5 linked regions of the Rattus norvegicus genome follow. The protein of the gene in region 1 interacts with the protein of each later gene in a pairwise test. Links are inferred from orthologs where the notes say so. Each region holds a gene or a part of one and is shown on either strand. Other genes may lie near its edges. The genes, in order: Fmr1, Pick1, Ube2i, Nufip1 and Fsd2.

The links.
Region 2: the proteins of Fmr1 (region 1) and Pick1 interact in a two-hybrid assay, tested with the Homo sapiens proteins (2 studies listed by BioGRID and IntAct). The link is inferred for Rattus norvegicus from reciprocal best matches to the Homo sapiens genes FMR1 and PICK1.
Region 3: the proteins of Fmr1 (region 1) and Ube2i interact in a two-hybrid assay, tested with the Homo sapiens proteins (2 studies listed by BioGRID and IntAct). The link is inferred for Rattus norvegicus from reciprocal best matches to the Homo sapiens genes FMR1 and UBE2I.
Region 4: the proteins of Fmr1 (region 1) and Nufip1 interact in a two-hybrid assay, tested with the Homo sapiens proteins (2 studies listed by BioGRID). The link is inferred for Rattus norvegicus from reciprocal best matches to the Homo sapiens genes FMR1 and NUFIP1.
Region 5: the proteins of Fmr1 (region 1) and Fsd2 interact in binary tests that used the Homo sapiens proteins (3 or more experiments, as listed by UniProt). The link is inferred for Rattus norvegicus from reciprocal best matches to the Homo sapiens genes FMR1 and FSD2.

The regions. Positions count from the first base shown.
Region 1 is NC_086039.1:152,283,579-152,287,959, forward strand, and holds the start of Fmr1 (fragile X messenger ribonucleoprotein 1), read left to right. Parts: upstream 1-1,351; 5' UTR 1,352-1,532; coding exon 1,533-1,583; intron 1,584-2,346; exon of another isoform or gene 2,347-3,827; intron 3,828-4,381.
Region 2 is NC_086025.1:112,694,270-112,697,852, reverse strand, and holds the end of Pick1 (PRKCA-binding protein), read right to left. Parts: coding exon 3,517-3,583; intron 2,728-3,516; coding exon 2,677-2,727; intron 1,909-2,676; coding exon 1,764-1,908; intron 1,346-1,763; coding exon 1,074-1,345; 3' UTR 578-1,073; downstream 1-577. UniProt on the Homo sapiens protein: Probable adapter protein that bind to and organize the subcellular localization of a variety of membrane proteins containing some PDZ recognition sequence.
Region 3 is NC_086028.1:14,788,122-14,791,973, reverse strand, and holds part of Ube2i (SUMO-conjugating enzyme UBC9), read left to right. Parts: intron 1-3,230; coding exon 3,231-3,340; intron 3,341-3,852. UniProt on the Homo sapiens protein: Accepts the ubiquitin-like proteins SUMO1, SUMO2, SUMO3, SUMO4 and SUMO1P1/SUMO5 from the UBLE1A-UBLE1B E1 complex and catalyzes their covalent attachment to other proteins with the help of an E3 ligase such as RANBP2, CBX4 and ZNF451.
Region 4 is NC_086033.1:57,852,263-57,856,114, reverse strand, and holds part of Nufip1 (FMR1-interacting protein NUFIP1), read right to left. Parts: intron 3,512-3,852; coding exon 3,419-3,511; intron 1,220-3,418; coding exon 1,026-1,219; intron 1-1,025. UniProt on the Homo sapiens protein: Binds RNA.
Region 5 is NC_086019.1:144,923,249-144,927,812, reverse strand, and holds the start of Fsd2 (fibronectin type III and SPRY domain-containing protein 2), read left to right. Parts: upstream 1-1,648; coding exon 1,649-2,275; intron 2,276-2,651; coding exon 2,652-2,747; intron 2,748-4,564.

The sequences.
Region 1 (4,381 bases):
AGAGACAGTCTTTTTGTTGTTCGAAGCTGGATAAGTCACACTGAACTGTGAACTTCTGGAGAATCAACTTTGGGGGAGTGATTATTTAGGCACTTAAGCCAAGCTTTATATGAATTCTAAGAATTCAAAAATTCAGAATTTCATGCTCGCATAGCAAATGCTTTACCCACTACAGCCAGCCACTTCTCCAGTCCCATATGTATAGTCTTGAGAGGTTGAATTTTGCCCATCTACTCCTGTAGGTTCCAATGTCAACAATGACAGTCTTTTTATTGCTACCTCACCAAGGATTCACTAGTACTTAGTATGGTGCTTGGCACATGGTAGGCATTTAATGAACTTCTCAGTTGGATGCAAGCCTTCTGGATTAAGGGAGCATGGGTCAGGCTGGATAGGAGCCCAGTAGAGAGGCCAAGGGGGAGGAGGTGTGAAAGGCTAGACTTGGTTCTGCTGTGGAAGGCACAGGAAAAGAGCTGCATGGAGTGGACACAATGATGTGCATAGACAGGTTCCATGACTGCTTTCCTGATGCCCTCTCTCTGGTATAGGGTGCACATAGAAGAGGCAAAAGCCAACTGTAAGGAAATTAACAACTGTTTAACACATTCATTGTCTCTCCCTCTTTCAGTGAGCTCTCTTTATTACGAAATCCAAGTAAAAGTATGAAAGGAAAGTGTGCGGGACAGCATTGTCTGAGAAAGGGCTAACATTTCCTGAAGGTCTGGCACACTCCATTGGCCCTTAAAAAGTACTCAAAAGTTCCCACAATGCTTCCCCAAATCGCTAGGTAGTATAGCGATTTATTTTGCACTCTGGCCATAAAAGTCCCAGAAGTCAGGGTCAGTGTAGTTATAACTGTTCCTACATCAAAGTGTTCTCCAATCGAAGTTATCACTTTAACTTCCCCTCCCGCCGCGACTTCCAGTTCAATCAGGTCCCACGCCAGCGCAGTGAAAAATGTACCCAAAGCCCCTCCACTTCTGGTTGGGCCCCATTTTCAAAAACTGGAGGCCTTTTCCCACGTCCTCGCTTCCTCCTGTACAAAAAAGGCCTCTAGTCCCCACGGCTGGCCATAGGCAGCACGACCTGTTACTACCCTTTGCGCTTTCCCGCCGTTCACCCAGCGCGCGCGCCAAAGTATCTGCCCAGTTACCCCAAGGCAGGTACCCACGACGGCGCATGCGCGTGCTCAGCTGCCCAAGAGAGAGGGCGGAGCGAAGGGGGCGGAGCCCATGGGGGAGGGGCCGCCAGGGTCACGTGGTGTCGTTTGACTGTTTACAGGAGGCGCGGCAGAGCCCTCGGCCTCAGTCAGTCTTGCGCTGGGGAGCGTTTCGGTTTCACTTCCGGTGAGGGGCCGCGCCTGAGAGGGCGGGCAGTGAAGCCAACGGACGGCGAGCGCGGGCGGTGTCAGTGACGGCGGCGCCGCTGCCGGGGGGCGTGCGGTAACGCGGCGGCGGCGGCGACGGCTGGGCCTCGAGCGCCTGCAGCCCACCTCTCGGAGGCGGGCTCCCGGCGCGAGGAAGGACGAGAAGATGGAGGAGCTGGTGGTGGAAGTGCGGGGCTCCAATGGCGCTTTCTACAAGGTAACGGGCTACCGGACAGGCCGGGTCCTCGGCCTCCCTCCCTCCCTTGTGTCCCGGGCGGCGGGCGGGCCCCTCGGGCGCGGCGGGAGCGGCGGGCGGTAGGTCGTGAGGGAGCGGCGGACTCAGGGCCTAGAGCCCGCCTCAGCGCTCTGACTCCCGCCTGAGGCCCCGGCGCCCGGCGGAACGCGAAAGGAGCGCGGGAGCTGAGGGTGGTTGAGCGGCCGAGTTCAGTCAGGGAAGCGGGAATGCGAGGACAGTAGATCTGGCCATAGGGCCGGTGCCGCGTGAAGTGGCGGCAGCGGCTTAGTCCTGCTTTCCCAAATAATCCTCTCCTAGTGGGTTCGGGGCCTGACACGCGGGGAGCCGTGAGGGAACCGGGGGCGCCTCAGCCCCGCCGCCTCCTGCCCTGCCGGACGGCGGTTCGGAGTCTTGGGCTCCGGGTTGTCGGCCCACAGTCCAGACTTTGGAGAGCTCCCCTGTTCTGGGCGAGCGGAGTGGAGCGAGTTCTAAGAAGCCCTTGGCAGTCCGGAATCACAATGGCAACTGCTCTTTAGTGGCCTCTTTGTGAATTTCGAAGGAGGGTTTTAGACCTAAAAGTTTCTGAAAGACCATGACATCTGAGAGAGCCATTTAAAACGCTAGCCAAAGCTGATATCCATGGCCTCCTACCCTCTGTAACTGGGGGAAATTCAGGGATAAACATGTCGCGACTTCTAAAAATATTACCAAGTCTGCTTATTTTAAATTTTCCTTTGTGTTTAAGTTCTCAAGGACCCGAATTTGTGCCACAGAACTTCAGGAAATTAACGGGGACTGTCTGATTGCTACTGAATTTTTACCAGGACGGTTTGGAATGTTTGTTTTGTGCTCTGAAGTGCATAAACTTGAGTATATTCGCTTTGACTTTTGCGGTGTTGCAGTGGGCTATGTTCTTGAGGTTTTAAATAAGCATTCATGGAACTACTGAGGGGTTTTTTTTATACCATTGAATATCAGATAACGTATATTTTTTTAAAGGAACCTTAAAATACATGTAATGTGGTATGATTCCTGATACTGCATAGATGTAGATCTAGCAATATTATAAAGTCTCTTTTTTTAATGTTTACAAGCTCTGTAAGGCCCCACCTCAGTAGAATATTTTAGTAACAGAAGCTGCACGTGGAAGGAAGCATGGAAAATAGCTTTTGCCATTGTCCAACCGTTTTAAGTTTATTGTAGAAGAACTTGAGCATTTCAAATGGGACGTACTAGGCTAAGCTCAGGAAAGTGACTTTTGTAAATTATGCTTTTATCAAGTCTATGGAGACATTTAGTAGAAGATAAATTATGCTTTTATCAAGTCTATGGAGACATTTAGTGGAAGATAAATTTCATGAATGAGGGAAATTTGTAAAATACTAATTTATACTAAAAATACCCTTTTGTTGTAGCATGGGAGACAGAAAGAATGCAGCATTTTTGTTGCTAATTCTATCAGTGCAGTTTTTTCAATTTGCTGTAATAAAAAAATGTTCCAGTTAGTTTTGGTTATTTTGCATTAGAAGGTTTCTAGTTTTGGTTATTTTGCATTAGAAGGTTTCTAGTTTCTAGAATGACAGTTTTAATTGCTAGAGTTGGGGCACTGAGACACAGATGAGCAAGGGATAATAGTTAAGTAGTATTTTTGTTCATCTCTAATACCAGCTTAGATTTGAGTCCACTGTTAGTTGCTTTTAATGAAGTTGGCTTGCCATTGAGGGCAAGTAGTGCATCCTACTCTTGAAGGATTTATTGGCCCCAGTAATTTTGCTTGCAAACTGACTGGAATATTTTTTAAAAAGTGCACTGTTTCCACTATTAATCCCCTTGCTTTTTTCTTGGCTTTGTTTTTCAACAACTTCTTAATTTGAAGATGAACGAAAATGAATAGACTTTGAATTATCCTTTGATTCCCTGAGGGGACATGTAGTACTCTTTTAAAGTGTGTGTTGAAGAATTGCTATTGTGTTTAAGTTTATTTTTGTTTTTTGGTTTTTTTTTAAGTTTCAACTGGTCTATATTAAAGGAAGGGTACTGGCTATACTGAAAGAAGTTTAAATTTTACATCACTTAGAATATTGACTGTGAACAGGAGAAAATAAAGTGGAAGCATGCTGAGTCCTTTTCTGGTGAGATTGATGACAAAGATGAGAAGTAAAGACCATTATGGAAACACTGGGAACCCTGTTCATTAAATTGGTAGAAGTAAAAATTTAAAGCGAAGTAAGTCAAATTCAGTATAATTGAATTCAGCTTTTGATTTGCTTACTAGAACTACTGTATTGTAAAGGGTAGTTGTACATTCCCTGAGCACATTAAGTTTGCAGAATAACTATATAGAACACATATTAGGAATGATTTGATTCTTTCTCTAAAACATCAATAAATTGAAGATTTCAGATTCACAAATCATGCTTCTGGCATGGTAAGAGCCAACCAGTTCTGATTTGGATTTTTTCTTTTATTGTTTAATTTTTAAAACTATTAGATTTGTGACTACTTTTTTTAATTTTTAAAAATTTTTATTCTTTAATTCTTTTTGGACAGTTAGACTTTATTGACCTCCCTGTCTTCTCCACCCCCAAAGCCCCACACTGTTCCCCATCCCATACCTCCTTTCCATCAACCCCCTTGTGACTACTTTTAGTTTTTTTTTTTTCTTTAACCTGGAAAAAGTTGGTAACACGTACTAACTAGTTTTTGAGCCCTTCAGACAAGTTATGTTTAAAATCTGAAGAAACTTTGATTTGTATCTCACATGATCTTTAAAAAGCACT
Region 2 (3,583 bases), on another chromosome or scaffold:
CACTGGATGACCCTTGGATCCTTTCTTCAGGCGTGCAGCCCAAAACTACAAGCAAAGGAGCATTTCCATTTGGGACCCTGCCACCTCACATATTCCTTGCCCCTGTGTGGTCTCAAGATGGCCATCCCCTGTCCTAAGGGGCACTTCAGAGTAGGACTGCAGTATGTGCTACACACACACACAGCCAGGCAGACAAAACAAAAATGTCTGTCAACATCTCCCTTGCACCCCTGGGCTCCCCAGCCAGCCCCGTATGACCCAGACCAGTATCTGTTCTGCCTCCTTGCCCAAAGGCTTATTGTAAAACCAGAACAGGGAAGGGTTGAGAGTGCTTGATGACACTGGAAGGTCACAGTCAAGGTTTCAGGACCCAGACTCAAGCTGCAGCTCCCACTGTTCTCACAATGTCTGGTTCTGAGCAGGATGCTGCCCCGAGCCTCTGGACCCCAGAGCTGCTCCTATAGGCACTGCTAGAGGTGAGTGATGGACACAGAGGGAATTGCCTAAGCTTTGTGTCCCATCCTCCTGCATGACCCAGGAGGCAGCTGAGATTTGGCTACAAAGGGTCTGAGCCATTGCGAGGAGCCCATCCATTCTGTCTGGGTTTCTGTTTATTCAATACAGGCCCAGCTTCCAGCCCTTGAGGCTAAGCCAGAAACAAATAAATATAGGCTGCCGAGGTGTGCACATGGACTCAGGGGGCCGCCCTGGTACACTGGTCACAGCCTCGGATGTCCACCCAGCTCCCATTCCCTGCAGGCGTGGCACCACCGAGGTGCTCACAGGGACAGGGACAGGTCCTGTGCTCTGCCTGCTCCAGCCCCTTCTCTTTCTGTCCAAGGCCCAGCTCTCCCTCTAGCTGGGAGGTGGGAAGGAAGGATGGGGGCTAGAGTCCAGGTCCCAGGCTGCAGGCTGGGTTCACTGTTCAAGGACAGAGGAGCAGGGAGGCAGGCGCCCCGAGCCAGCAGGCTTTTATGCGCCACTATATGCCTTCGCTGTCCTACAGTGGCCCGGCCCCACTCCCACTGCGGTCCTCCCACTACCCTGCCCCCAGGTCCACTTGAGGGGGGCACTCAGGAGTCACACCAGCTTCTGCCCTTGTCTGTAGGCCCAGTGGCCCCACGTGCGTCCTTGGACACTTCCCTAGCTGCCCCGTCCTCCTCCTCCTCCTCCTCATCTTCGCCATCGGTAAAGCCGCCCTGGTTAGGGCCGTAGGCTAGAGTGGTGTGTGCCAGGTCCACCTCGATGGGGAAGACGTCGGCGTCCCGCAGCACCGCATAGCAGTCATTATAGTACTTGGACATGGTAGACACGAAGCGCTGCAGCTGGAACACGATGTCCTGGACTGGGGCAGGAGGTGAGCAGACAGGCCCAGTGACTATGACTGCTTCCTCTTAGGAAAGACCTGGAACTGGTTTGGCCTTCCTGTTGGGACACTTCCTGGGCCCCAGGCCTAAGAAGGGTAGAAAGGGGCGCAGCCAAAGGCTTCCTGGCCTGGCCCAATTGGCCACTTAAGTCCTCCAAACTCTTAGCTCAGGAAACAAAGGTTTCCTGAGTGAGCAGATCATGGACCCAAGCCCTGCCCCCAACCCAGCCAGGCTATAGGTGGGCTCCTGCCAGGGCCTAGTCTTGGGATCTCAGGGAGACTCTCTCTGGGCCTCATCTCGGATTTAGGGAGGGAATGGCACCCACCCTGGGGCTAAGTGCCAGCAAAGGACCTCCTAGGGTAGCATGGGCAACAGAGCCCCACACGCAGCCCTCACCGTGCTTCTGGTCCAGCAGCTCCATCTTCTCCAGCACATCCTTGCGCATCTGGGAGAAGCGGGCTCGAGCCTCCTGGCGGCAGCGCAGGATAAGGCGGTACTCATAGTTGCCTGTGCTCACTCGGTATAGCGGCTCTCCTAGGGCCTGGGGCAGGCAAGCTTGTCAGCGCCCTTGGGTGGACCTGGGCCTCCCAGGGACAGATGGGGCTGGAAGGCTGTAGGCTGGCCCAGCTCACAGCTATACCACAATGGGCTTTCAGATGCCAGTGATGGACAGAAGCTCAAAGCAGTAACTTTGGAGGGAGAAAAATCAACCACAGAAACACGAACACAGCTCACATGAAATAAATGAATATTGGTCAAAGGATGGACCCTGACTGCAAACACAACAAAACAGAAACAAATGAACAAAAACTAAAAAACAGCCAGGGCTGGAGAGTGGCTAAGAATAGTCACTGCTCTTGTAGCAGCCTGGGTTCAGTTACCAGTGCCCACAGGGTTCTGCCCAACTCTCTGTCGTTTTAGTTCCGACAACCCCTCTTCTGACCGTCACAGTCACCATACACACACACCAGGCAAAACACTCACACACACAATAAAGTAAATAAGCCCAACTCTTTTCTTTCTAAAATCAAAGCAGAGCTCAGAAGCAAGCTGTTAGCTTTTTCCCTCACAAACTTGGGGTACCTGACCTAAAGCAGATCCAGGAAATTACCTCATGGCCAACTAACTGGTACTCCGAGTCAGAGGAACTGGGAGAATAAGCTGATCGCCCCAAACTACAGTCCAGCTAAAGCCCCAGGATGCCTGCCATACCCACCACCTGTGACAGTCCCAGGCCTTCTGAGGCAGTTGGGGAAACGTGGGCACCCGAAGCCATCCTAACACCACCGCGGGCCCATCTGGTACTCACAATGCAGCTGTACTCCTCGTCGTCCATCTCCTTCACCTTCAGACAGTATGACTGTATGGGATGGGATGGGAGAGGCCAGGAAGTCAGCAGCCAAGCTTCCTGCACTCGTCCAAGTTTCCAGCTCCCCCTGCCATGCCTCCCTATGCCCTCAGCTCACACCGAGAGCAACCACATAGGCCACCAGGGTCAGGACCACCAGAGAAAGGCTGGAAGCATGGATGGAGGCCCTGTAAAGGGGCATCAGGGCTATGAGAACTCCTCTGGGAGGGTGCAAAGGCCTGAAGGCTTGAGAAATTCAAAAGCAATTAAGATTCAAGTCTCTGAGGACTGGAGGGTGTGGTTCAGAGGGACAGCACTGGCCTAGTATACATAAGGCCTAGGTAGGGTTCTATCTCAAGACCAAAACCCAAACCCACGGTACTGTGTGGTGGTGCTGGCTGGACAACAGGGCATGGCAGCCCCTTGAAGACATGCTGTGTATAGGCCTACAAGTCAAGACTCTAAGAAGAGCTAGAGCAAAAAGCCTGAACCCTCAACAGATCATTTTTTTAGCTCCTTTGAGCAACAGATCATCTAGGACTCAAAACATCCTTTTCCTAAACCCAGTCTGAGCTGCTGCTAGAAACCATAGAGAACTGGAGTGCGCCAGTGCTCCGGGCTGTAGGCAGTCTGGAGCTCCTTGGTGTGGACACAGAGTCTAGGCTCCCCTGATTCTCTAGTCAGGCCTTTAATCTCACAGGCCTGACTCAGCTCATGTCTGGGCCCAGCCTGCCTGCTGGCCTCAGGGCTGGCCTCCAGGGTGGGCTCACCTCAGCTGGCCAGACAGGGCAGTACACTCACCAAGTACTCAAACTTCACATCCAGGTACTTCTTGATGGTGAGGCGTGTATCAGGGATGGCCTTATTG
Region 3 (3,852 bases), on another chromosome or scaffold:
GTTTGGGATTTTCTTGTCTGTCTGAGTTCTTTTTGCCGTACTGTTGGTGATTCATTCATTCTTTCTTTCTTTCTTTTTTCTTTTTTTTTTCTTTTTTCTTTTTTTCTTTTCTTTTTTTTTTTTTCGGAGCTGGGGACTGAACCCAGGGCCTTGCGCTTGCTAGGCAAGCGCTCTACCACTGAGCCAAATCCCCAACCCTGTGATTCATTCTTTTAATTGAGGGGTATGTATGTAGCTACGATTGAGACAGACAGAGTTGTTGGTCTCATTGCTCTCATGTGGTGGAATCTTGAGCAAATACAGTGAGACAAGAAGTCTCTCAAAACTGGCGAGGAAAACCAAGATGCAGCTGCTTAGGAGGAAAAAAGTGAACATGGAGAAATGGATCATGGCTCGTGGACGTTTGGAAACTGAGCTGTTGCAGGAGCACCAAATGCTGGGGAGGGGGAGTCTTGTGCTCCGGAGACCATGGGCATTTCTGAGAAGCCTGAGGTAGCCTCAGCAATTATGTGAGGTGACGATTATCCTAACGAGTCTGCAAGTGCCACAGGGTATCCCCATTAGTCGGGCAGGATCTGAATTGTGTATGGAGGTGCAAAGGGCAGGGGCAGTCAATTCCTTGAAGTTTCAGGAGCCTCGACATCCAAATGGAGACCCAGGATAAACAGAGTGCCTCAGCAGGGTAGACAGACCATTGTCACCAACTAGTTACCAAGATATGGTTAGATGTTGTGACATCTGTGCAAAGACAGGCCAGCAGACCATGAAGCAGAATGGATAGATAGTCCAGAAAAGCCAGGCCCATTCACAGCTGGGTATGGGATGAAACTGCTAGTGGGCAGGGGAAGCTCCTTTGCCATGGCCTATAGGTTCAGCTCAGCCTAGTGAATGGGGAGCAGGGCAGCTTTGGAGGAGACTCCAGAGGTTTGCTGATCTGGGGTGGAAGGCATTCATTCTTAGTCAGGGAAGTACAAGAGGTGTTGGCCTCTCTGACCCTGGAGTTAAGTCAGTCTTAAAAGTCACCAGCTAGTGAAAGAAATGCAAAGGAGCAGAATGCACCGTTTCCGGGCCCTTCTGGGCTACCAAGGAGGTGGGCTGAGGCAGCCAAGAGCTGGGAGGGAGACAAGCTCTTGGGCACTTGCTGTGGTGTGTGAAGGCCATTTCTCTGGAAGATCTCTGCTGTTGCCAGTAAAGCTAACCTGCCACTATTCTGTAGAACTAGCCAGGAGAATAAATGCCCACACATGTTCACAAAGACAAGGCAGGAATCCCATGGAAGCCTGGTTGGGGATTCCAGAAATCAGAGATGGTGCAGGTGTGTGTTAGTTGCAGCCTGGGAAGTGATTGAAAGTAAAGGGAAACAAGATGTAGCTTATAAACCCCTGGACAGCAAAATGGTGGGCTCTTAATATCTGATCCATGCCCCAAAGCATCTTCTGCTGCTGACTGAGGCTAAAAGCTTGGAGGGGCTGATGGGCTGACTAAGACTCAGATTCAGGTTATCACTGGTAGAAGTAAACATGGTTGGCAAGTAAGATCAAACTTGTGTTTGCAAAGTACAAGTTAAAGACCAGAATGGGGAAGGGTGCCTGCTGAAAAAGACTTGTGTTGAGAATCACTGATGAGTAAGGGGCTCGAGATAAGGCGAGCTTTAAAGCAGAAGTGTGGGCTCTGTATTGGAATACTAGCTGCTCTTCCAGTGAACCAAGGTTGGATCCTGACATCCCATGGCAGCTCACAACTGGCTATAACTCCTGTCTTAGGGGATTTGACACCCTTTTCTGGCTCCCATGGACTCTGCACACACATGATCCACAAACATACACACAGGTACAATATCTACATACATTAAAAACAAAAAGATTGTGTTGGGTTGGTGTGGAACAGGCTTTCCTGTGTGGCCGTGGCTGTCCTGGAGCCTGCTCTACAGACCAGACTGGCCTCCAACTCTCGATCTGCCTGCCTCTGCCTCCCAGGTGCTGGGATCAGAGGTGTGTGCCATTGCCCCTCGGTGGTTTTTTTTTTTTTTAAAGGTGGTTGCCAGCAGCAGTGTCTCTGTGGAGATGGGAATGGGAACCCCGAAGGCCTGGCCCAATAGTGAGACAGTTGATCTGAAGGAACTGATGAACCTTAGTTTGGGGTCACACCCTCCCATTTGCATATCATTGTGCCTGAGGCACAAGTCACTCAAGTCCCTCCTCACAGCTCGCTTGGAGAGGAATGCTGTAACCCACAGCATTCTAGCTGCACAGAGACACTGTGCAGAATAGTTAGGGAGTTTTCTATGAGCTTTTAACCTTAGTGTTGGCGTCCATTTTTGTCTCAGAGTTCAAGGCAGGACAGCCAGGGTTTCTACATAGAGAAAACTTTTTAAAAACCAAAGAAAGAAAGGAAAGAAGAAACAAACCTTCATTCCCTCCCCCAGAACAGCAGCAGTTGTAACTTTCCATACGAGTTCTGGGAATTAAGCCCTTTATCCGACCCCACCTCACCCTTGTTTTGTTGTTTGTTTTTTAAACAATATTTCACTAAGAAGCCCAGGCCGGCCTTCCACTCATAATCTTCTTGCCTAGCCTACAGAGCAGTTGGTATAGGTGTGTGCTGCTGCAATGCTCAGCCCATGTGTATATAGTACTAGGAACTCAGCCAAAGCCTTCTGTACCCCAGGGACGTGTGCTGCCACAGAGCTATCCCAAGACCCCTTCATTTGCTAAAAAAACAGGCAGCCTTTATTTAGACTTGCACTTTGGGGGGTTATACATGTTTGAAAATAAAGAGAAAAAGGTTTGCCTAGATCAGAGTGAGACACATTCTCAAATATCGGCTGTGAAATAGTACCTGAATGGAGCGGATATTTCTGCTATTGTAAAGACATGTGGTGTACTTGAAGCCTGTTCAGTGAAGTGCCCACCCCCTGAATAGGTCTTTGGGGAATGTGTTCTGGCCTCTTTCCTCTATTATGGACATGAGAGAAGAGCATAGGCTCAGCTCCCCAACTCCTGGCCATAGTCTCTTCTGGCTGCTTTAGGTTCCTCGAGGCAGAGTTGTCTGCTGTATCCAGGCTTAGCTCCTCTGAAGGGAAAGGTATATTCTCTTTCCGGCCCTTCTGCTATTGAGTTTCTGAGATTAGTTCTTTTATAAAGGAGCTCTAGTGTCAGAAGGGCAAGGGCAGCACGGGATGGGGACAGCATCTGCCTCCAAAAGTATTCCTTTCTCCCCCTGTCCTCCAGGTAAATTTGAGCCACCACTGTTTCATCCAAACGTGTATCCTTCTGGCACAGTGTGCCTGTCCATCCTGGAGGAAGACAAGGACTGGCGGCCAGCTATTACGATCAAACAGGTATGGAGTGGCAGCTGGCTACTCTGTTATGGGTTTGTCCTGTTCACAGTAGCCAAGGCTGTTTTTCATACCCCACAAGCCCCATCAATCTAAGTCATTAGATTAACTAAGCCCCTGTCTTAGTCAGGGTTTCTATTCCTGCACAAACATCATGACCAAGAAGCAAGTTGGAGAGGAAAGGGTGTATTCAGCTTACACTTCCACTTTGCTGTTCATCACCAAAGGAAGTCAGGACTGGAACTCACACAGGGCAGGAAGCAGGAACTGATGCAAGGCCATGGAGGAATGTATCTTACTGGCTTGCTCAGCTTACTCCCCCCACCCCCTTTTCTTTTTTTTTTCGGAGCTGGGGACCGAACCCAGGGCCTAGCTCTACCACTGAGCTAAATCCCCAACCCCTCAGCTTGCTCTCTTATAGAACCCAAGACTACCAGCCCAGGGACAGGACCACCCACAGTGGGCTGGGTCCTCCTCCCTTGATCACTAGTTGAGAAAATGCCTTATTAGCTGGG
Region 4 (3,852 bases), on another chromosome or scaffold:
CAGCCCTCAAAGGATTTTCCCACTGGGTACCCAGGGGGCATTTCAAACAGCCCTAGCCAATTGCCAACACTACACCCTGCCTCAGTTTACCCTCGATGTCTTTGACAACCTCCATTCTGCTGTCATGGGCCTCTAGAATGACAAGCACAAAATAAGCCCTTCCTTCAGTTGCCTTGGCTACGATGTCAAGATTAAAGGTGTGTACTCCATGCCAGCCCTGAGGACTTTACCCTCAGAGTAAGAACGTGCTTGGTGTCAGCTGCCATGAGAAGCATTGGACTGTGCTACCTCAGTGTCAGCACCACCGACCACTGCAACAACTACATTCCAAAACCGAGCTGCTGCCCAAGGGTAAGGGGACAGCTTCAAAACAGGTGAACAGGCCAGCCACGGCGACACACACAGGCTCAAATGCTCTAACGCAGGAGGAACACCCAGGTATGAAGCCACTCTGGGCTACACAGCAAGAGCCGGCCTTAAAGGAAAGTCTGCCTTTTCTTGGTCTTATCAAACATTAAAAAAGAGCTTTTACTTTATTTTTATTTGGAGTGGGTCTCTGTACACACCAAACAAGCGCTCCTCCATTGAACTACAAGGATAGTCAGAAGGGGTCTGCCTAAACTCCTTCCCACATCTTCAGCTCCTATACTCACAACACTTATCAGACAAACTCAGACCTTACATTTAGATACATGCACAGTATTAGAGTCAGACCCCTCACTCAGCTCAAGTTCTGGTTCTGCAGCAGCTATCAGTGCGACTAAAGTAACCTGCTTGGTCTCTGCAGTCTTGTCTCTAAATGGCAATCAGAATACCACCTACAGAAAAGAGGTAATACACACCAAGCACAGGGAGCACAGCAAGGTCCTTACTCGGTAACTATTAGTTGTGCTTAGTTTATTACCACTCCTTCTAAATCTTATCGAACTGTACCCAACCCAACACTCCACCGTTCCCAGATCCCTCTGCATCCAATCCACCGCAATGCACACAAGTGTGTATACGTCATCTCCCATTCAGCTTACCAGAGTCGCTGTGGATCAATACACCAAGAGGGTCTACATTAACCTTGGTCGGAATTTCAGGCTTCAAATCTCTGGCACGATTGCCTAGTCCAAGGACTGCTCTCTGTCTAGCCCCACCGCTTTTCCATTTATAATGTTTACCAGGACTCCTGATCTTTGCCATCTGTGAATGTCTGGACATGCCCTTCATTTTGCTGGAGTAAGAAAAAAAAGGAGCAAAAGAAATATGGATGTTAAATTGAGCCCTTAAGCCCTAAGACATTAAAGAGACCAAAATAAAGAACTACACAAAGGCTAAAGGTCCACACCCTACACCCTAAGTCTTAATCAGTTCTAGCTGCAGTCCCCACAAGTGTTTTGAGCCCTGACACAGGGCTCTGTTGTGTCATCACTGGCAGACCTCACCGTGTGGCATTTTCATACTATACATCAGCATCTATCTTAAGAGTTTACAAAACACACCCACTCTTATTTAATTAAAAAGTTACATCCCCAGCTCCGAAAAAAAATTTTTTTTACTCATTTTAAGGGAGCTTCTAGGTTTGCAAAGCATTTATAAGAATGTCACCTTCGGGGCTGGGGATTTAGCTCAGTGGTAGAGCGCTTACCTAGGAAGCGCAAGGCCCTGGGTTCGGTCCCCAGCTCCGAAAAAAAGAACCAAAAAAAAAAAAAAAAAAAAAAAAAAAAAAGAATGTCACCTTCACCAGATCCTCTCTTTGAATAAACATTCTGTAAAGTCCTCTGAGCAGAAGGAAAATGCCTGATAGATTTATACAACAAAGAACACCTAAGAGTTAGCATCTAGGGATCATAGCCATTACCCACCTGGTCCTCAACTGTGTCTGAGCTTTGTCACCACAACAGATGTTCCCAACACCATTCTGACCCCAAATGCCAGTGGCAAGTACTTCCTGTTGTATCTTTTTTAAAAGGACAGCATTTAAAAGCAACGGCAAGGAAAATTAAGAGGTGCATCCTTAATGTATGCAACCAAACATTAACTCTTGGAAATCAAGGGCGGTAAGCCCTTTGAAGCTGGAGAGGTGTACAGCATCCCTTCCAGAACTGGAGTTCAGTTCTCAGTATCAACACTGGGTGGTTCACAATTCCCTAGAACTCTAACTCCTGAGATCTTACACCCTCCTACAGCCTCTACAGACATTGCACTTAAGCGCACAACTCAGCACCCCTCTCACACACATAATTAGAAAAAATATAAGATGCTTGATATTGCTAGTAACTGAGAGACAGAGAGATCACATGCAATGAGAAGTCCAAATCAGTCCAACCATTTGGCCAACTATTAAAGCTAATCATATAGATAACCTATGACATACCATCTGTCTCATGAAAAAAAAAAAATGAACATTAATGTCCACAAAAGACATGTACAAAAATGTCTATATGTAGCATGCATGTATCTCAAAAAATATCACATTTACCCAAGAATATATATATAGTGTATGGTTTCATTTACATAATTGTAAGGACAGGAATAATTTATAATAATTAAAAACCAAAACAATGTTACTGTTTATGGGGTACACTGAACAGGATAGTGCTTAAGGGAGCTGGGTGACGGGGGCTGGGGATTTAGCTCAGTGGTAGAGCGCTTACCTAGGAAGCGCAAGGCCCTGGGTTCGGTCCCCAGCTCCGAAAAAAAAAAAAAAAAAAAGAAAAAAAAAAAAAAAGGGAGCTGGGTGAACAAGGACATTCTGTATGTCAATCTATGTGGTAGGGGTAGGGGTGTGTGTGTGTGTGTGTGTGTGTGAGAGAGAGAGAGAGAGAGACAGCGAGAGAGAGAGAACACGGGCATTCATCGTGCAATGCACTTAGGATTTGTATATTTAAACTGTTAGGTTAGTAAAATAAAATAAAAAAATTCTGAACAAGAAAGTGAGTGGAGGGAAAGGAGACCTTGAGTATTACTGACAGGAGAGACAGGAGAGACAGGAGAGCATGGCCGCTGTACGACAGATCTATTTTTATTAATAAGCAACTATCTAACTGCTTGAATGACAAGGGAATTGACTGAAATAATCCTGTGGGCCCTTCTTGATTACATTTCCTACACATCCAAGCAAGAGTTTGCTTGTCTGAAGAAGCACAGGGCAGTGTGGCCCACGGTAGAGACACTGCTATCATTCCTATGCTGACTAGCAGGGCAACAAGGAAGGAAAGGACTGTTCAAACCCTATCACATGTGTAGATACCCTCTAGGTATTGGTACTTAAGATACAATTTAAACAATTGCTAAAGCAAAAGGTACAGAGCGAGATTTCAGAATGGCAGCAGAGGGATGTGAGGAGACTGGGATGCTCCCTCTCTTCCCCAGAAGCTCATGCTTTTGAAGGAGCACAGAGGATGCACAGGGACAGCGTCAAAGAACTCACCCGTACTGTGTGGTTGTCAACACTTCTCCTCTCTTTTCCTTTTCCAGCTGTAACAGCTTCTTCCTTTCAATATTGGCCAGAGTTGGGTAGTTTCTAGAAGAAAAAATTAAAACTTATCACAAACATCCAACTACTTCTAAAATCTAAGAGAGAAAATGCAGTTCACGCATCAGTGTCTCAGCTGTCCACACAATTCTGTACCCAGGTAAGGAGTGTGTGCTAGAATTTCAACTGCTCTAACATCTCTGCTTAGCATGCACTGATGCAGAGAGAAACAACCTGCCTAGCCAATTACTTCTGCAGAAACACGCCATGCACACACAGTCACCAAGGTAAGAGACAACCCTCAAACAACAGTCTACTATGGAGGACACTGAGAGCCTAAGAACAGCTGTACCTGAGACAGAACAGTGAACACCCAGCAGAGGACACGT
Region 5 (4,564 bases), on another chromosome or scaffold:
GTATGTGTGTATATGTGTGTATGTGTGTTTATATGAGTAAGTGTATGTGTGTATGTGTTTGTATGTGTGTATATATATATGTGTGTATGTGTGTATATGTGTGTTTATATGAGTAAGTGTATGTGTGCACATGCACATGTGAGGTCAGATATTGATGTCAGGTTCCTTCATGAATCATTCTCTTCTCCCTGTATTTTTTTAAGACAGAGACTGTTACTGAGCCCGGAGCTCATTGATTGGGTTAGGCTAGCCAATCAATAAACTCCAGGGGTCTGCCTGTCTCTGTCACTTCCTCACCTCTGTGTTGGGTTCAGACACATGCACCTGCACCTGGCTTATGTAACTGTTCATGATCTGAACTCCAGTCCCTGGGCTTGTGAGACAGCTTCTTTACTGACTGGGCCATCTCTCCAGCCCCAAAATGCATCATTTGATGAAGTGGACAGGACTTTGTTTATTTAAAAAAAGAAAAAGGCTCAACTCAACCCAGGAGTGGAAATTACAGGATCTAGAATGCAACAGGAATGAGTGAGTTCGTATTTTGTTTTTCAGTTTGTCCAGGCAAACTGAGTGACCGTGCTCACCTGTGTAGGTAGATGGGAATGGAGGTGGTTATAACATTCCATTCTTTCAGCTCCTTCTGAAATGTACGCCGAAATTATATAATGACCTATCATGAACATTTATTTCAAATAATATATCAGCTGACAACTTGATTAGATCCTCTTGCAATTTTGTTAGAAGCAAAGAGCTGGAAAGCACTTACCTTGAAAAAAAGATCCTTTCTTTCTCATTCATTAATGTCACTCACTCTTGGCATTGATGCCAATCCTCCAGGCTATCCTTTCATCCAGTCCCCTGGAGGCTTTATTAAATTCCCAAGCAATGAAATCTTACTGTGCAATGTAATATTCAGAATGAACAGGAAATATATTTTTGCTTTTCTGATAAGCGAAGGGCTGTTGAGAAGAAAGGACCTCAGAGGCTGCCTTGTTCCCAGGCGAAGCAGCTCTGAGAAAGGCCAAATGCAAACCTGAGACTGTATCTGAACGCTAACTCTTCATACCCAGTGCCTGGATTCCCCATGGAAAGCCCCGTGCACACGTGTCACGGTGTGGAAATCAGCATTATCAATGCCGTCCTTTGAAGGAGCCTGACTATGAACAAGGAGGGGCAGATGGTAGCAGGGGGGAGGAGGCTTAGTTTTACGCTGGCCTCATTCAAACTGTTCTTTCATAACAAATTATTCCACAGCTTGATAACCTAAAATAACCAATATTTATGATCTTGCATGGTTCGTGAGAGCTGTGAATGGCAAAGAGGTCATGCGGTGACCCTAGGTAGGGGTGATGCTCCTAATACACCTTTCTATAGCAGTGTCTCCAGCTCGCCAGCCAGCCTTAGGTCTCTAGGGAGGGTCTCCATGTGTTTCTGTTGAGCAATTGTGAGTCAGCTACGGCTGGGACAATTCAGTGAATTTGCTTGCCATGATGTAGACTGTGACCGTTGACTTCTTGGATAAAATCTGGAACTATGGAATCTCGTGCGCAGACTCTGCAATTCTCTTCTTGGGAACTGACGTTCACTTCTTCTGTGTCCTAGGTCTCAGAATACCCACTGACTGACTAGGAAGGGCTGTTCTGTGTCAATGGAGGAGGAAGCAGGGGAGGAGCCGGGGCTGGGGAGATCAACAGCCCCCAGAGACTTCCACTTTTATCACATGGACCTGTATGACTCTGAAGATAGACTGCAGCTCTTCCCAGGAGAAAGCAGCAGAACCCGGAGGGAAGTAACCCAGGCTGAACTGACCAATGAGCCAAGAGGGGCAGGGGACAGTAAGAATCTCCAGAAGGAAGTGGACGCGCTTGTCCATTTATACGGGCTTGAAGATGAACATGAGTTAGGGGGTGAATTTGTGGATGAACACAGATTGGGGACTCTGGGGTATCCGTACGGGATGAGGAGGAGGGATCCAGGCAGGGAGCAGAGAGACTGGGGGCTTAGTGGTGAGGCAGCTGAGGCCGAGGACCTGTGCTACGGAGTTCAAGGCCCTCCTGACCAATGCCAAGACCTTCGGGAAGCCTACAGGTACACACATGGCCGCGCCAGCGAGGAATATGAATGCTACGTCATCCCAGAGGAGGAAGATGAGGAAGAGCCTGCTGATGTCTTCTGTGTCACTTGCAAAACTCCAGTGAGAACTGTTGAGAAGGATTTTGATATACACAAGGAACACGAAGTAACCCCAATCAACAAGGCTCTGGAACACGCCAAGGTAACAGATCTTACATCTTCCGCTGGAGAGTGCATGTGTGTCTCGGGGAGGTGGGCAGAGGTTCAGTCCTTCATGCCTCCAAGGATGAAATGGTAGCCTGGAGAGATGGTTCAGCATTAAGAGCACTGGCTGCTTTGCAGAAGTCTTGGGTTCAGTTCCCAGCATCCGCATGGTGACTCACAGCCATCTGTAACAGCAGTCCCAGGGACCCCGATGTCCTCCCCTAGGCTCTGTGGTCACTAAGAACACAACGTGGCGTACAGATACACACACACACACAGGCAAACATCGGTGCACATGTTTTTTTTTTTTTTAATTTAAAAAAGATAGAATAAGCTTATCGTTGATACTTTATTCGTTCTGCTCACCTCCACAGGATGAAATTCACAAAAATATGTGCAAATTGGAACAGCAGATTATTGAGATGGAAAATTTCGCTAGCCACCTGGAAGAAGTGTTCATCACTGTGGAGGTAAGGCCGAGTGTGGTGATCTCTCCACAAGTAGCTTCCTTCAGGCAGCTGCTCCCAGTGAGCTACAGAAGCCATGTCTTGGAATGTGAGAGCCCGCCCCTCCCCTCAGCTATCCACTGAACTTCACTGCCCCTGGGCAACTACAGAGGTGACTGTCACTTGCCTTCATCCCCCTACTCTGTCCTCTACGTGGGAGAGGCTGGTGTGTGTGTGTGTGTGTGTGTGTGTGTGTGTGTGTGTGTGTGTGTGTGTGTGTTTGCTGTTGTTTGGTTGGTTACTTTGTTGGTTGGTTTGATTTCTTGAAACAAGGTTTCTCTGTGTATCCCTGGCTGTTCTCGAACTCTCTCTGTAATCCAGACTGACCTCAGATTTGGAGATCCACCTGCCTCTGTCTTCTACCTGCTGGGGTTAAAGGTGTGTGCCCATACTACCCAGATTTATAAATGTTTATTACATGAATAAGTAAAACAGAAACTTTCCAATCAAAGTACCAATTGCATGGGGTTTAATTTTCGTTGTTGCTGTTTTGTTTTGTTCTAACAGTGATGACACCATGGTGGCACCATCCAGATGGTGAAGTGAACAGTTTCCTTCTGTCCTGGGAGTTGGGGTGGGATGGGGTGGGTATGTGTGTTTCTGTGCATCCGTGTTTGCAAGTACATATGCACATGCACTTGCATGTGAAGGCCAGAGGTCAAGTTTGGGTTTCTTCCTCAGCCATTCTGTACCCCATTTTTGAGACTGGATTTGGAGTTCTGTAGCTTTGCTAGTCTAGCTGGCCTGAAAGACCTGGAGATCCCCCTGTCTCAGTCCTCAGTGTTAGAGCCACACAAGCTCACTGCTACACTGTCGGAACTACATTCACTCACTGCTGACCTACATATGAACTACATATGCTCACAGCTGCACTTACATACAAACTACCTACGCTCACTGCTGCACTGCTGACCTACATGCGCTCACTGCTGACCTGACCTTTTACACAGGCGCTGGATACCCTAATTCAGGTTTCCATGCTTGCTTTGGGGCTCACTCTGAGACTCCCCTGGGTGCTGTCTGATGTCCTGCTGTATAAGCAGGCATAGTGTTTCCTTGCTCTCTGGAGTTTTTAATTGTCTGTGTGTGGTGGGGTGGTACCCATCATATCACAGTTTTCCCCCTTTGAAAATGTTTATTGTTTATATCCATTTTATATGGTATTATGCAAAGCAAGGACATTTTCACACGTGTATATAATGTGTGTTGAGCATACTCCTCCAAATCCACTTCCCTCTTTTATCTCCCCCGTTCTTCTCCTCTTAGTACTCTCTGTTCCCTAGACAGTTTCATGACCTTTGTACATACATAATTTTATGAATCTATGTGAGATTCAGGAGCAACAACTGAGAGAGAATGTATATTTGTCTTCTGAGGCTACCTTAATTATATTTTCTCTAGCAGCATTCATTTTCCTGCAAACAGTTCCATTGAGTATGTAGACATTTCTTTACCCGTCCCTCTGTGATGGACACCTCGGTTAGTTCCATAACTTAGCTAATGTGGATAGCACGGATGTTCGATGTCCGTGGCAGGCTGACTTGGGCCAGATGGGAAGTGTATTTTCAGCTTTTTAGGAAACTGTGTACTGAGTGTCCATGGTGTGGGGACCAATTTACATCCGAAAAGTGGCGTGTGCAGAGTCCCTCTTGTCCACACGCCCGACAGCAGTTACTTGTCAAACAGGTCTTCATGTTTCACGCTCCCCACTCCGTCTGGTTATCGTTCCTCCAACACAGACACACTTCTAGCTGTGCGCGGGTCATACAAAGAAGCATCTG